2 linked regions of the Neodiprion lecontei genome follow. The protein of the gene in region 1 purifies or fractionates together with the protein of each later gene. This does not show direct contact. Links are inferred from orthologs where the notes say so. Each region holds a gene or a part of one and is shown on either strand. Other genes may lie near its edges.

Region 1 (8,117 bases):
GAAGAAATGTTAATTTTTTTTTTCACACTTTCATTATTACGTGTGCAAATAGAACATGCATATTGTGTGAAATGGAGAAACTTTTATGTATTAAGATTGTATTAAGATATATATATATATATATATATATATATATATATATATATTCCAATGCACCATTCAATACGCAGATCGTTTTTCAGTTGATCTCATCGCATAACTAGCATTATATTTTTAAAAAAAGAAATCGCGTTCATTCTAGGAAACATTCAAGCTTAGGTGTGTTACAGCACCTAAGTATTATGGTTTGTTTAGGTGCGAAATTAGCATATCTGTGGAAATGAATATGTTTTTGGCCATGAAGTATTAATTAATTGGACTTGAGACATTCCACTTCCTAAAAAATATTCCACTATTTGATGCATTTGTTATGCCCCCAAATAGTATAGAATAAATTCTCAACATTTCAAATTGTGGAAAAGTAGAAATTACGTTACATGTATAATCCATGCAATTGTGAATAATTACTTCGCGCTACTATTGAACAGCGATGGATAAGTTTAATAGACAACACACATTTACATAAAAATAATGTGTCGTAGCTTGGAGGTGTAAAAAAAAAACCACCAATCTAGCCACGTGGTGGATAATGAAAGATTCAATTTTTCGCTTTACTCCTTTCAAAGTACGAAATATCTGGATGAGACATGTAACAGATTTCGATGTATGATTATCTAGTATGCCAAAGTGCGTTATTATGCCAAAAATTTAACGTTTGTATACACATTAACGTTATCTTATAATCGTTAGATTGTGATCATATACAAACACATATATAATATGTATATGTATTATTGTATAAATTATGTCAGTTACATTACAGAGAATCGATATCGACAGAAAACTTAATGAAAAATATTTACAAAGCTACGCAATATAAAATATTAATTATTTGTATTTTTGTTATTTTATTATTATTAGAGCTTATTCATAATAGTCTATTAACAACTCATTACTATGGCAAGCGGAAGCTTAAGATCATTTTCAATAATAAAACCACTGTACACTTAAATATTTAAAGTAAATTTAGAACTTTTTTATATAAATACGCATCTAGACAATATATATTATCAGTTGTAGATCATTGTATTATGAACTTCAGGTTTAAGCAAGTATTACGAATAACAATTCGCAAAGAGCAGAGAGGCAAATAATTGCTATATAGTTATAGTTTCAGTATTACAAGCATGTAAATCGGAAATTCACAGAGATTTTAGGTTGCGAACAAAATGATAAAAGTAAACAAGTATTAACAACAATAATAATTCGCAATTGTAAAAATAAAAATCTATTGAAAGTAAAAATAAAATTGCCTTCAAACATGTGAATGGTCCAAGTTTCATTTAATGTAATCTGACAAAAATGAAAAAAAAAAAACTGGGGTATTTTCCTCAATGCATTTTAAAAATAACGAATACACCGAATACAAGGTAAAATATAAAGTAGAATGGCAAATTAACGTTGACTGATTGCGAGAAAAGGTACGGGCTTCGAAAAAAAAATTTTTTTCGTACAGTTCAATCAATTGTAAAACCGGAGATGAATAACAGGATGATACAGTTGATAAATAAAGAGAGTTAAACCAAATTTCTAAAGTTAAATATAATGATACAAACAATCGTATAAAATGTAATATTACAGTCTTCATGAAAAATAATCAAAAAAAGTACGACTATTGGCATTATTTCAAAACTACTTGCAGAAACGAATCTATCAAACGTTATCATTATCGCTGTCCGTATGTATAAAAATAATGATGAACTGAACTACAACTGGTCGTAATTTTTTATACACGGTAGTAATATTGAAACGAAATTATACGAGCTAAATATGAAAATAAAATATTATAAATAACACGTGACTTTGATATTATACCTGTTAAACGAAAAGACTAACAGTCTGTTATTTGTTGCTGTTGAATTATACATACAATAAAGAAAACATAGGCTAAGTATGATTTTGGTGTGTGATTGGAAAAAAAATCGCGAAATTAGTATAACTTTTAAGTACGTTAACCATGTTAAAAATATCACAATGGCAAAAGGTCTATAAGATTTGCTCGCGGCTGAGTTAAACTTTCAGGAAAAAATTCGGTAAGTTTGTCAAACAATTCCGTACGGCGAGCGTGGATGTCGTGCATCGTAAAATTCTTTGGCACCACTGAATTAATTCGATCACTGGAACTAGTGCTGGATGCTGGATCCAGATCTAAACTGTTATCCATGCTTCTTTCTTGCTCTCGGAAAAGAACTGAAGCCAGTAACTGAAACTACGATACAACAAATATCACTACTATATTAAGCTTAATATTTTGCAAAATAGAAAAAAAAAACGAGATAGCCGATAGTTGACGTTTTTAACGTCTAAATTATGTCTAAAACACGATTTATACCTCTTTGGTTTGCTCCGGATCGGCATGATCGATGATTTCGTATACTTGTGTCTGCAGGTACTCGAGAGCCTCGATGCTATTTTTCATAGCCAATTCTTCGAATTTGTGCTTCCTTATTATCAGCTTGCATTTCCTCAAAATCTGCTCATGAGAGGGTCTACAGAGTTCCAGCTGCCAAAAATCATCCAGCCTCAATTTTGGCAGACAAGAGCGCCCCGGATTTCCTCCAAATAAATAATGGACCTGCGGCATATGAAACGTAATGAAATAGTAACGGTCAAAGCTGAAAGCAATCAGAGTTCACCTTGACTATTTTAATCAGCGTGGCTCACCTTTTGAATATGATCGTACACAAGCTGGTGGGCAAATCTAGGACAAGGCTCGTAATCCTGCATACTATTCCAATACTTGTCACCAACGTTTTCATTACGATATATGCAAGACCATCGGTTCTCTTTAATATTGTAGACCCAAAGAGAATTTTGAACATTGTCGTCTCTCTTCTCTTTGTCTTTGCTCAGACCCTGTAAGTAAGAGTCATCTGTGAGCGCTGAGGTTTTATGTTGATTCTTAATATTAAGTAATCACCAATAGCTGAAACCAATTGATGAGCCATAAAGAAAAAGAACATTGTTACGTATTTACAGATAAAACGTAAATCTCGCCAAGTTCAGGATCAATAGTAGCCCTCTGGGTAAAACCAGCCGCGGGAACATGATTTGAATCCCGGTTTCCCAAGTCACTGAGATTGATGTGTTCCAAAGTCTCGGTGTCTACTTCGAAGGTAAAAAAATCGTTTAGATACTCTTTACTCCTCTGTCCCGCAAATATGTATAGTTTTCTGAATTCCTAGAAATTTTTTTACATTATTATAAATGATAGAGCCACTTATTACCAATTACATTGTTTGACAAGTAGCTACGAGTTTATTTATTTTGGGCATATGAATTAGATGCGTATTATCGAAGATTAAGGAGCACAACATCCAACGAACAAGAAGTGACATACCGGATGAAATAGCATGGAATGTCCAACTCTGGACCTAATTGTTGGTATATTAGGCGGACTGGGTCTCGCAATATCACAAGCGAGCCTACTCCAGGTCCCAGTTGGCACATGGTACGAATACAATCCAGAAAATACTGGTTCTGTCACGTTTGGTGTAACTCCATGGTTATCCTCAATCCTAAAGGAAGCAGAGTGATAAGATAGATTGAAAAATTGATTGGAATTTATTTAATCTGAGCCAAAATTTTCATTTTCACTTTCAATATAAGTTTTACTCACACATGCGATGGCACAAGAACACGTCCACCGAAAATATAGATAGTTCTCTTAGCGACGTCCATTGACATTTGGTGGTCGAAAATCAATTGAGGACCACCGACGGCTCCGGTATCTTCAGATATCTGTGTCCATTTATCAGACTCAATATCATAAACGTAAAAATCGCTCTTCAGATTTTCTGGCGAGCGATATTGAGTGTCTAAATACCGTCCCAGAGTGAACAACTGACGCCTTTCTGGGTCCAAACACATTTTGTGACAAGACCGGGCGGTAGGACCACCCTGAAATATAGCTTATGTTAGTTGCAGATCCTACAACCTGATATCGCAAGACCGTGATCATTGACTAACCACTGCTTCTGTGTCTTTGCAAATAAGATGCCACTTGTCAGTTGATACATTATAGGTCCAAAGGTCAGCCAAATCCTGATTTCCATCCCAGCCACCGAACAGATACAACATTTCCGCCGATGGGTCCAAAACCATTTGATGCCCACCCCTCATTCCAGGTTTTGGATCCTTGGAAAATATTTTTGTCCATATAGCTCGGTAAGCCTGAGCATTTATATACTCATTGAAAAGTCCCACTGAATCGAAAAATGACCAAGTTTTCATGGATGAAGGATGAAATTTTTTAATTAAATATTGCTTTTTGAATAACCTTGATAAATACCAGAAACTTACTGTTTACAGCGTTGCTAATGAATCTTTCTGCCTGGCAGTGATCCCCCTTGGTTACCAATATATCATACAGTGTTGACAGTCTGGAATCCTCAAGACTCACCCCAGTAACTCTTTGAAGAGTATTGACAATTTCCGGATATTCCAAGCGGCGAAAATGTTTCATACACAGTCGTAACACCTCTTTCTGACGGTACTACAATAATTAGTTACAAATAAATTAAAGCAACAAGAAGCCAGATGAGGGTAAACAATGTGAATCTTTGACAATAATTTTTAAAATGAGCAAATTTTAGAAAATTACTATGCTTAATCAATACTCCGTTATAGTTAAAGGACATCTACGGTTAAGGTTTCATAGTCACCTTGTTTAGTGGAATAAAAACGTTGGTATTATGCTGCTGTCTAACCTGCTATTACTGGAAAGTTGTACTTTAACTTAGGTACCTAAATTAGCTGAATGCATCTGACAAAATGTTCTAGGATGTCTTAAAAAAGTGAAAAGCGAAATACATACAGAGTTAAAACATTCAATGCTGCTTTTGACAAGTTTCTGGTCATCGACTCCCGCGAGGTGAACATGCCAGATAGAAAAGTTAAAACTGGGGCCCCAGGATTGCAGGGGAAGAATTTTCAGGTACTTAATCGGAAAATAGTTCTCGTCATTCCCGACCACATGTTTGAGGTCGAATGTTTCTGGTGTAGAGTCATTTTTCAAACCACTGCAAGGAAAACGAGACGTGAAAGACGAGTTTAGGTAAAACAGAATCGTTTGTTGTCTAATTGAAATATGCTTGAAGGAAGCATCTCACCTTTCTAGTAGCTCCATCATATTCTCCGGTTCAAGTCCACCAAAAACTTTGAATTTCTTGATGTTACAAACATGAGTTTTTTCATATTTACCAAACGTGATAGTTTTGACGATGGACTGATGTTGGAGTTTGAGAATGAGAAACTGCAACAGGAGAAGAGTAAAGAAATTCGTGTTACAAAGAGCTAAGGGTGTAGGTTTAAATCAAGCTAAGATTGCATAATAGAGAAAGTAAATCATCGTTATCACACTGCACGTAATACCTGAGGATGATTGTCATTGTCAGAGGACCAGCGAGAGGATTGATCCGACGGTACGTCTACGAGAATATTCCTGAAAATATGGGAAATAAGGTCAATGAACCGTTTATTCACCCTGCACGCGCCGCTCGGCCTTGAGACCGTGAATAGCCTCGTTTAAGTGAAACCGAACGCGTTGTCCTTGACAGAAAATGCTTTCGTTTGAGGTTAAGAACGCGTAGTAAAATTTCTACGTGTCGTGGGCAGATGCCAGCTCGATGACACACGACGATTCTATCTGATTCAAAGGAGTCGATAATTTAAATACTTACTCAGGTACATAGGTCGACGAGTAGCTGGAGCATTTGAAAATTCTATACTCCAAAACCTTGTGAAAATCTTCACTCTCACACGCCGCCATATTGCTGCACGAGTGACATAACCTTTTCGAAGTTCCGAAATTTATACATAAGTCAGATATCTATGAATGTATTTATTACATCCGCATGTGTAGCGCGGCACTACGGCGATCACCGATGAAACGTTTTAAATATTTTTGAATCACTCAATGATTTGGCCGCAATCAGCAACTGATAGTCGAAAATTTGTTTCTATTCTAAGGTCAAAATTAAATGCGTCGCAACGGATCGTTATTGACTGCTTTCATTTCTCTGTGTCAGCTCTGAATTTTCGTACCTACTGACACTGTTTCGTGACCCCATTTTGCGTATTCGTATCAAGTTTCATTAGTAAATTCGAAAGCAAATGCGAAACATGTAAGAATAAAAAAAAAAACAAGAAATAAAACTGGATGAGTTTGAAATATAGAAATAATTTGGAGGGAATGATTTAGTCAAGACATTGCGACTGAAGAATTAATATTATATTAAATAATATATTCATTTATTTAACAAGATGACGATTATGTACACCTACCGATTATACACAAAAATCAGGTATTTCCAATACCCCATTGGCCGTGTACAGACAATAAATATTGTTATTACAGATATTCCCCAACTATTACGATCGTGTAATTTGTTCATTTATTCCCTTCTCTTTCGTATCGCAATCATCAGACAATATCATCGATTTACTAGACTTTCAGTCAGTCTAGGTCATATCTTCTTATCATTAATTGTATATAAAATACGTTTTCATCATTTGGTACACCCTTTTCTTAGCACGTCAATTCTGTCCTGAATTGAGGACCAAACCGTTAATGCTTAATTGAAACGTGAACAGAATGATTAGCGCAATAATTGTGTCACAGTTTTAGTTAGAGCTTACATGTGGGTAGTAAACAATATGAATAATAATATTTTATTAATCTCTCATGGTCGATAATAAATGTTGGCGTGATTATTATTACTAAACTGCAAGTAATTTCAACGCACTATCAAAGGTTGGTCTAACTTATACTTTACAGTATTATTCGTATGTCTGATTTTTTTTTTTTTTATCTTAACGAAGTAAATTTTCACCTATTGATGCAGACTTATATATCTAGCATTGAACACTTAGTTACATATCTCGTTTGAAGTAGAAAAATAAAAACTTACACAATTGATCAAGGAAGTCGAAAATCATGAATGGAAAACTGATGATAACGTAGATACAATGGCTTGTTGTTTAATAAAAATTAAACTCAGACCAAATTGGGTAGTTTTTTTTTTCTTTATCTTCAAATTATATATGTATACATACGTACTTACTTTCTAATTTCAAGCAATTTAGATATTCGTATCCAATTTAATAATTTGAAATATTTTTTGTCAAACTTTTTGAATACAAACAATGAAAAAGGCATAATATAAAAATATAAAACTTATGTTTAATAAAGGTTTCTTTGAAAAATAACAGCAGGGTACACAGACCACGTCGTACCTTCCTCTCTAAATATTCAATTTCTCACAGCCCTTTGAATAATTTTCGACTAAACACGCATGTGATTTTCACACTTCTATCTGACTCGTTAACCCTCCGCCGGTCATGTGTTATTTTACTGATGTCGTCAGTCAATATCAACGATTTCGTCACACGAGTTCTTTTTCCCTTCACTTAGAGATTTTCAAAAGTTTGCAAAAGATTCAGGTAATCAGTTTCAGGTGCCTACTTGATATTCCAATAGTTTACATTACGAAATTTTCAAATAGTTAATGAATAGAAATTGTTAAACAATGAAAAATTCCCGAGACAGCGATAAGTGAGAAGGTCAGGATGGACGATATCGTCTATGTTTGCTGGCGGAGGCTTAATTTGAGGTGGAAATATTTCCGTGAGCTGAACAGATGCTGTCAAGAGATAAATATTTTTTTGTAATCAGATCTTCGCGTAACGTATCACGTATGGTGCGACAATTTGCAAGTACGTCAACAAACACCATATTATCAACCAACATCGTAATACAGGTATATTATTTACCAATCTCTTATTTTCAAAAAAGCCTGTAAATGTTTCACAACCAAGTATCTAGTGCAAAACCTATGAACTAGCAGAGCAAAGCAAAAGTCGTACATTTTCAATGGTTACTTTCTTTATATTTACCTAAGCATGAATTGTTCGGTCTTAACGAAAATACGGTGTTCTTCGAATACTAATACTTTTTTGATATATATATATATATATATATATATATATATATATGATTATCTTGTTTTATAATATTG
Region 2 (4,637 bases), on another chromosome or scaffold:
GCAGTTGTAATGCCTCAAAACGTGCCACAGAAGTCGACAGGGTTCTTCTCAAAAATTTATGAATACATTTGGTAGCTCGATGCAATTCCCCCATACTGCGTTTATTTCGCAACTCCATTCGGTTTTTACTCTTCAATCTGACGAATTTTAGTATAATTTTGTACGGTTGTTTTTTTGTTCGCATCAAGTGATAAATATTAATTTTTGTAATTGAGGGTGCAGTAAAGTCGACTCGTTGTATTCAATTAACCATCTTATACCATCATTGTCACGCTACATCAATATGGGATCGATTCGTATGTTTGAATGTCCAACAATTAACAGTAAATAACAAATGCCAATGTCACTTTTAGAATATAAGTATGTAATTTGCAAAGATATATTTTCTAACATTCATGACGTACTCTATTGTGTAAAGAATTGGACATGAATTTTTCCGTACTAACTTGATGTCATTTAAAGTTACGGTACACTGCTAATTTTTTTTAACTTTTACCTGTAGGCAAACATCATGTAATTGTGTATAAAATAAAGAAAACAGATTTTTTTATTCTGTATATCATTATCCAAGTCAGTCAAGGAGCGTGTATTAATAACTCTTCAGATTTGTCGTAACGTGATGGGCAGTGCAATTCAAAATTTCATTAACATTTTTCTGATCAAAACACACACAGGATCTGGGTGTTTAGGAATGTAGTAAAATACCGTGGTGGGGTTTAAAATTTGTAAATATATTTTGCACGAATAAAAAGTTGAGTTGAATACAAGATAAACATTTATTTTAAGACTTAATTTAATCACATTACCAAGGATATTCCTATAAATAAATTTCTGAATTCTGACATCTCTTATAACATCATTTTACTTAATTAATACTACTTTGGATTTTCGATTGTGGCACTACCCAAATCTGTCATTTTGGGATACTTCACTTTCTTGGTATCCAGCTCATCCTGAGCCCAAAGTATCATTTTTAATAAATTATTTAGTCTAGGGCTGGTAGTCTCGCGGTGTTCCATTTTTAAGATGGCGGCATTCAGCTCGCTTGCAATCTGCAACATATACTAATATTAAGAGGACATTGGGTTTAAAAAAAAAAATGAAATAGCATGTAAACAGAAGTTTCATCAAGTCATACTTATCTCAAAAAGTTTTTTCAGTTTATAAACATATTAATTTGATGTAGAAATGCTAAAAGGTTAAAGTACTTTTTGTGTCAGTTTAGTTGCAGCTGAAATGACTTAAAATGTGAATGCGATGTGTATCTGAGCAATTTGCATTTGGAATATACACAATCAAAAGTTTTCATGGTTTCCTACCGCTATTTAGAAAAACCTAGTTGCGTATCATTATTGCAAATAGTATGTAGTTGAAAATATGCGATATGGATTCAGAATAGAATACAGTCTTCAGTAAGTTCTTAAATTTAGTTCAATTGTAAATACTGTGGGTAAAACTCGCGACTTAGGATATTCTTATTATTACAGATCCTTAATCAAGTTACATGACTTACGACAATTTACCTTCTGTCTGTGCGTTGGGTGCAGAAGATCACTGAAGGGACTTTTGTGTGGTTCATCGAATGCTAGCAAAGCCAAGGTACGTTCCAGCTCACTTAATATATTGTCATCAGATTCCCCAGCTTCGCTCAACTGTTCTTGAGCAAACTGGAGAGCCTCTTCGATTCGGCCAGTACGTATCAATTCTATAAGGTGAAGTTGCTGCAGGTGGAAATAAAGATATCTGTCATTATCGAGAAGCTCTGGATGTAGCTGATTGACCAGATCAGTGGCTTCTTGAATTCGGCCATTTTGGATAGCGTCTCTAATACGAATTCTATCATCCAAAGAATTTAGTTCAACCGTCGGCCCGACTCCAGATTCTTGTTGAAACTTTTCCGCCGCTTCTTTGAAGCCTTCTAAACATGGAAATAAAGTGTGGATTGAGAGTTTGTGTGAATCCCGTACTTGCTTTGGTTCATTTTGTCATATTAAATAAGATCTCAAATCGTGACTTGAGGTTACCTGTGACAAGGTAATTCATTATTAGGTTATTCATGGAAACACGTTGTATGTGGGACCCATCCTCGAGTTTGGCAACCCATTCGTCTTTTGACATGTCGTCCTGGTTGTCTGGGAAACTCATTTTTCCCTACGAAGGGAAACGTGGAAATAAATATTTTAGGGGTCAATGAATTGTGAAATTTGACAACAATTGAACTGCAAGAATGTACGCGCCACCTGTGACTCGGTATTTTGGTTGTAAAAACATCTTCAACCTACCCGCCAATCGTCGTAACAGAATAAATTAATCGATCCAACTGGTATAACAGAAAATATCGTCGAAATTTAGCTCACTAAAAGGTTTTCGCAACTGTCACCACGCCAGAACGTCATAAACAACGCATTCGGATTTACCAATGATCATAGAAACTATATTCTTTATAGATAGACCAACTACTTTCACCGTTTTTCTGACAATGTGTTCAGTATTCTTCAGTCAATGCAAACACTTTGCAGAGAGAAACCTTCTGCACTTTGCATTTCAATTTGTGCCTTTGTTGTGCAGAACGGACCCTTGAGATCTTTGCTTAATTGTAAGAGAGGCCATGTCGGGTTTTTCAGTAGCGTTCGCTGACGCGAACACTGATGCTTAATATGGCAGAGTATTGGGTGGTTACCGACCGAGCACATCAGAATTTAGTTTCAATAACCTATTTCGTGTCAGAGGATGCTACTAATTGTAAATGATGAGCGCAGAATATTAGACATATGAAATTTTACCTCATATCATCGATAATTGTGCAACCGATCGCGACCACTCGTTGCCGCAAAGCAGTGTATGTAAATCTCAAATTATTTTGTCGTCGGAATTCATAACCATAGAGAGTTGAAATAGGCCCGGAATACGGTTTTTATCAATTTTAAACAGTAGCCTAATATATGAACACTGAATATCCCACATCACTGCATATTATTGATGGCTTCACAACTCATTCTTCCATGATGATACAAATAAATTCAAATTCGTATAGCATGGAAACCTGTACGGATAATATGTCGGGTAGGAAAATGCATACACTCGTCGCGGTTCCAGAAATGAAATTTTATTTTGCGTTATTACAGGTATTCAACCGATTAATCGCAGCTAACATTGAAGATTATACCAGTAAATATTTTCTGAACGTATATAGGAATACATTGTACTATGATAAATCAATCTTTTATGTAGAACAAAATTTCCATTGGAACTTTCATAGCGAAATATCTGCACCAGAAATTTTCCTAAAAAATGAGTGAAAACTAATTGTAAGGGGTGCACGGAACTTTTCGAATGAATCGATTTTGATAATCGATTTGAACCGATACATAACCGACCAATTCCTGAATCGATTTCATGACAAAAGATCAATCCCGCCAAGATCGAAGTATTTTTGAACTTTTGAAAAATACAAGAAATGATATGCAAAACTCCTCAAAATATATACCATTGGTGAACGAGAAATTAACAAACTCCCTAAAACGATATACCATCAACAATCATTGCAATCTGTAGGATGTATAGATTATAAAGCACAGGCTTGATCCTTTTTGAAACTGTTTGAAACACTTTTGGTATCAAACAATGTTACCATCCTTTCAACACTTTCGTGCCGCATAGGTGATAGGCGTACTCTTATTATCACGCTCTGAAGTTGCATTGAATCGATCTTCAGCATGAAGAATCGATTCAGATGATTAATTGACAGCACAGAATCGGTACAAAATATCAATAATTAGTAGCTAATAAATCGATTGTCAAAATAATCCATTCAGATCGATGCATTTTTGCAAAAAAATGAGGTTACAGTAAAGTATGTTACTAATTGCAGGTTTTCGTAACTGTTTATTATATACTCACAGCTCAAAGCCGTATACAATTTATCGAAAAATATAAAATGCTATTTACAATGCGTTTGCTTATTTACTGACATAGTTATAGCAAAAATATATAAGTGTTATTTGGAGTACAGAATTTTTCATTTCCGTTTGCAAATATGTTCCAGGTTTGCAAATGAAGTGTCTAGTATGGAGTATTACATCGATTACGTTTCTCTTGATTTACGACTCAAAATTAATGAACGGGTATAATAATTTTAAATTGGAAAGTGGCTGCCTCCATCGTGATAATTTATTTGGTCTCTCAGGTCTTTCGCTTTACGAATATGCATTACTAATACAGACTCGATCTGTCGAACAACTAAAATTCGAGCTTTGACTACCATAGTGTTCGCTATCATACGTCGCTGCTCGTAATTAATGCTGTAAGCAATATCAAATAAATTTACGAATTATGTATGCATCGCGAACGTTTTTTTTTTTTTGCAAAAGAAACTCCTACAAAAATTCTTCCAATTTTCATTTCAAACGACAATGAATATTTACTCGGAATGGAGTAAAATATATGTTATGTATCTACAAGAGGAATAATCGCTAAAACATTGACTGTTTAGTTTGAATAGATTTATTACATAGTACCATGAACCAACATCTGCGCGGTACGAATGCTATATACTTATGAAGACGATTTTTTTCTTGACCTTGGTGAATTGTTGAGTAATATTATTCTTGGATATGAAGGTCGAGACATCAAAACAC

Evidence for each region. The genes of interacting proteins can lie anywhere in the genome.
Region 2: the proteins of muskelin (region 1) and glucose-induced degradation protein 8 homolog purify together in Homo sapiens (affinity purification with mass spectrometry; 4 studies listed by BioGRID and IntAct, with this or other methods). This does not show direct contact. The link is inferred for Neodiprion lecontei from reciprocal best matches to the Homo sapiens genes MKLN1 and GID8.

Annotation. Positions count from the first base shown.
Region 1 is NC_060260.1:37,760,984-37,769,100, reverse strand, and holds muskelin, read right to left. Parts: upstream 6,128-8,117; 5' UTR 5,870-6,127; coding exon 5,781-5,869; intron 5,543-5,780; coding exon 5,473-5,542; intron 5,354-5,472; coding exon 5,211-5,353; intron 5,121-5,210; coding exon 4,916-5,120; intron 4,812-4,915; coding exon 4,764-4,811; intron 4,595-4,763; coding exon 4,402-4,594; intron 4,305-4,401; coding exon 4,069-4,304; intron 4,000-4,068; coding exon 3,719-3,999; intron 3,618-3,718; coding exon 3,440-3,617; intron 3,281-3,439; coding exon 3,077-3,280; intron 2,956-3,076; coding exon 2,764-2,955; intron 2,675-2,763; coding exon 2,432-2,674; intron 2,309-2,431; coding exon 2,069-2,308; 3' UTR 632-2,068; downstream 1-631. UniProt on the Homo sapiens protein: Component of the CTLH E3 ubiquitin-protein ligase complex that selectively accepts ubiquitin from UBE2H and mediates ubiquitination and subsequent proteasomal degradation of the transcription factor HBP1.
Region 2 is NC_060263.1:40,321,018-40,325,654, forward strand, and holds glucose-induced degradation protein 8 homolog, read right to left. Parts: upstream 2,603-4,637; 5' UTR 2,283-2,602; intron 2,152-2,282; 5' UTR 2,146-2,151; coding exon 2,025-2,145; intron 1,919-2,024; coding exon 1,524-1,918; intron 1,065-1,523; coding exon 876-1,064; 3' UTR 763-875; downstream 1-762. Other genes in the region: nucleoporin Nup35, read left to right, coding at 1-75. UniProt on the Homo sapiens protein: Core component of the CTLH E3 ubiquitin-protein ligase complex that selectively accepts ubiquitin from UBE2H and mediates ubiquitination and subsequent proteasomal degradation of the transcription factor HBP1.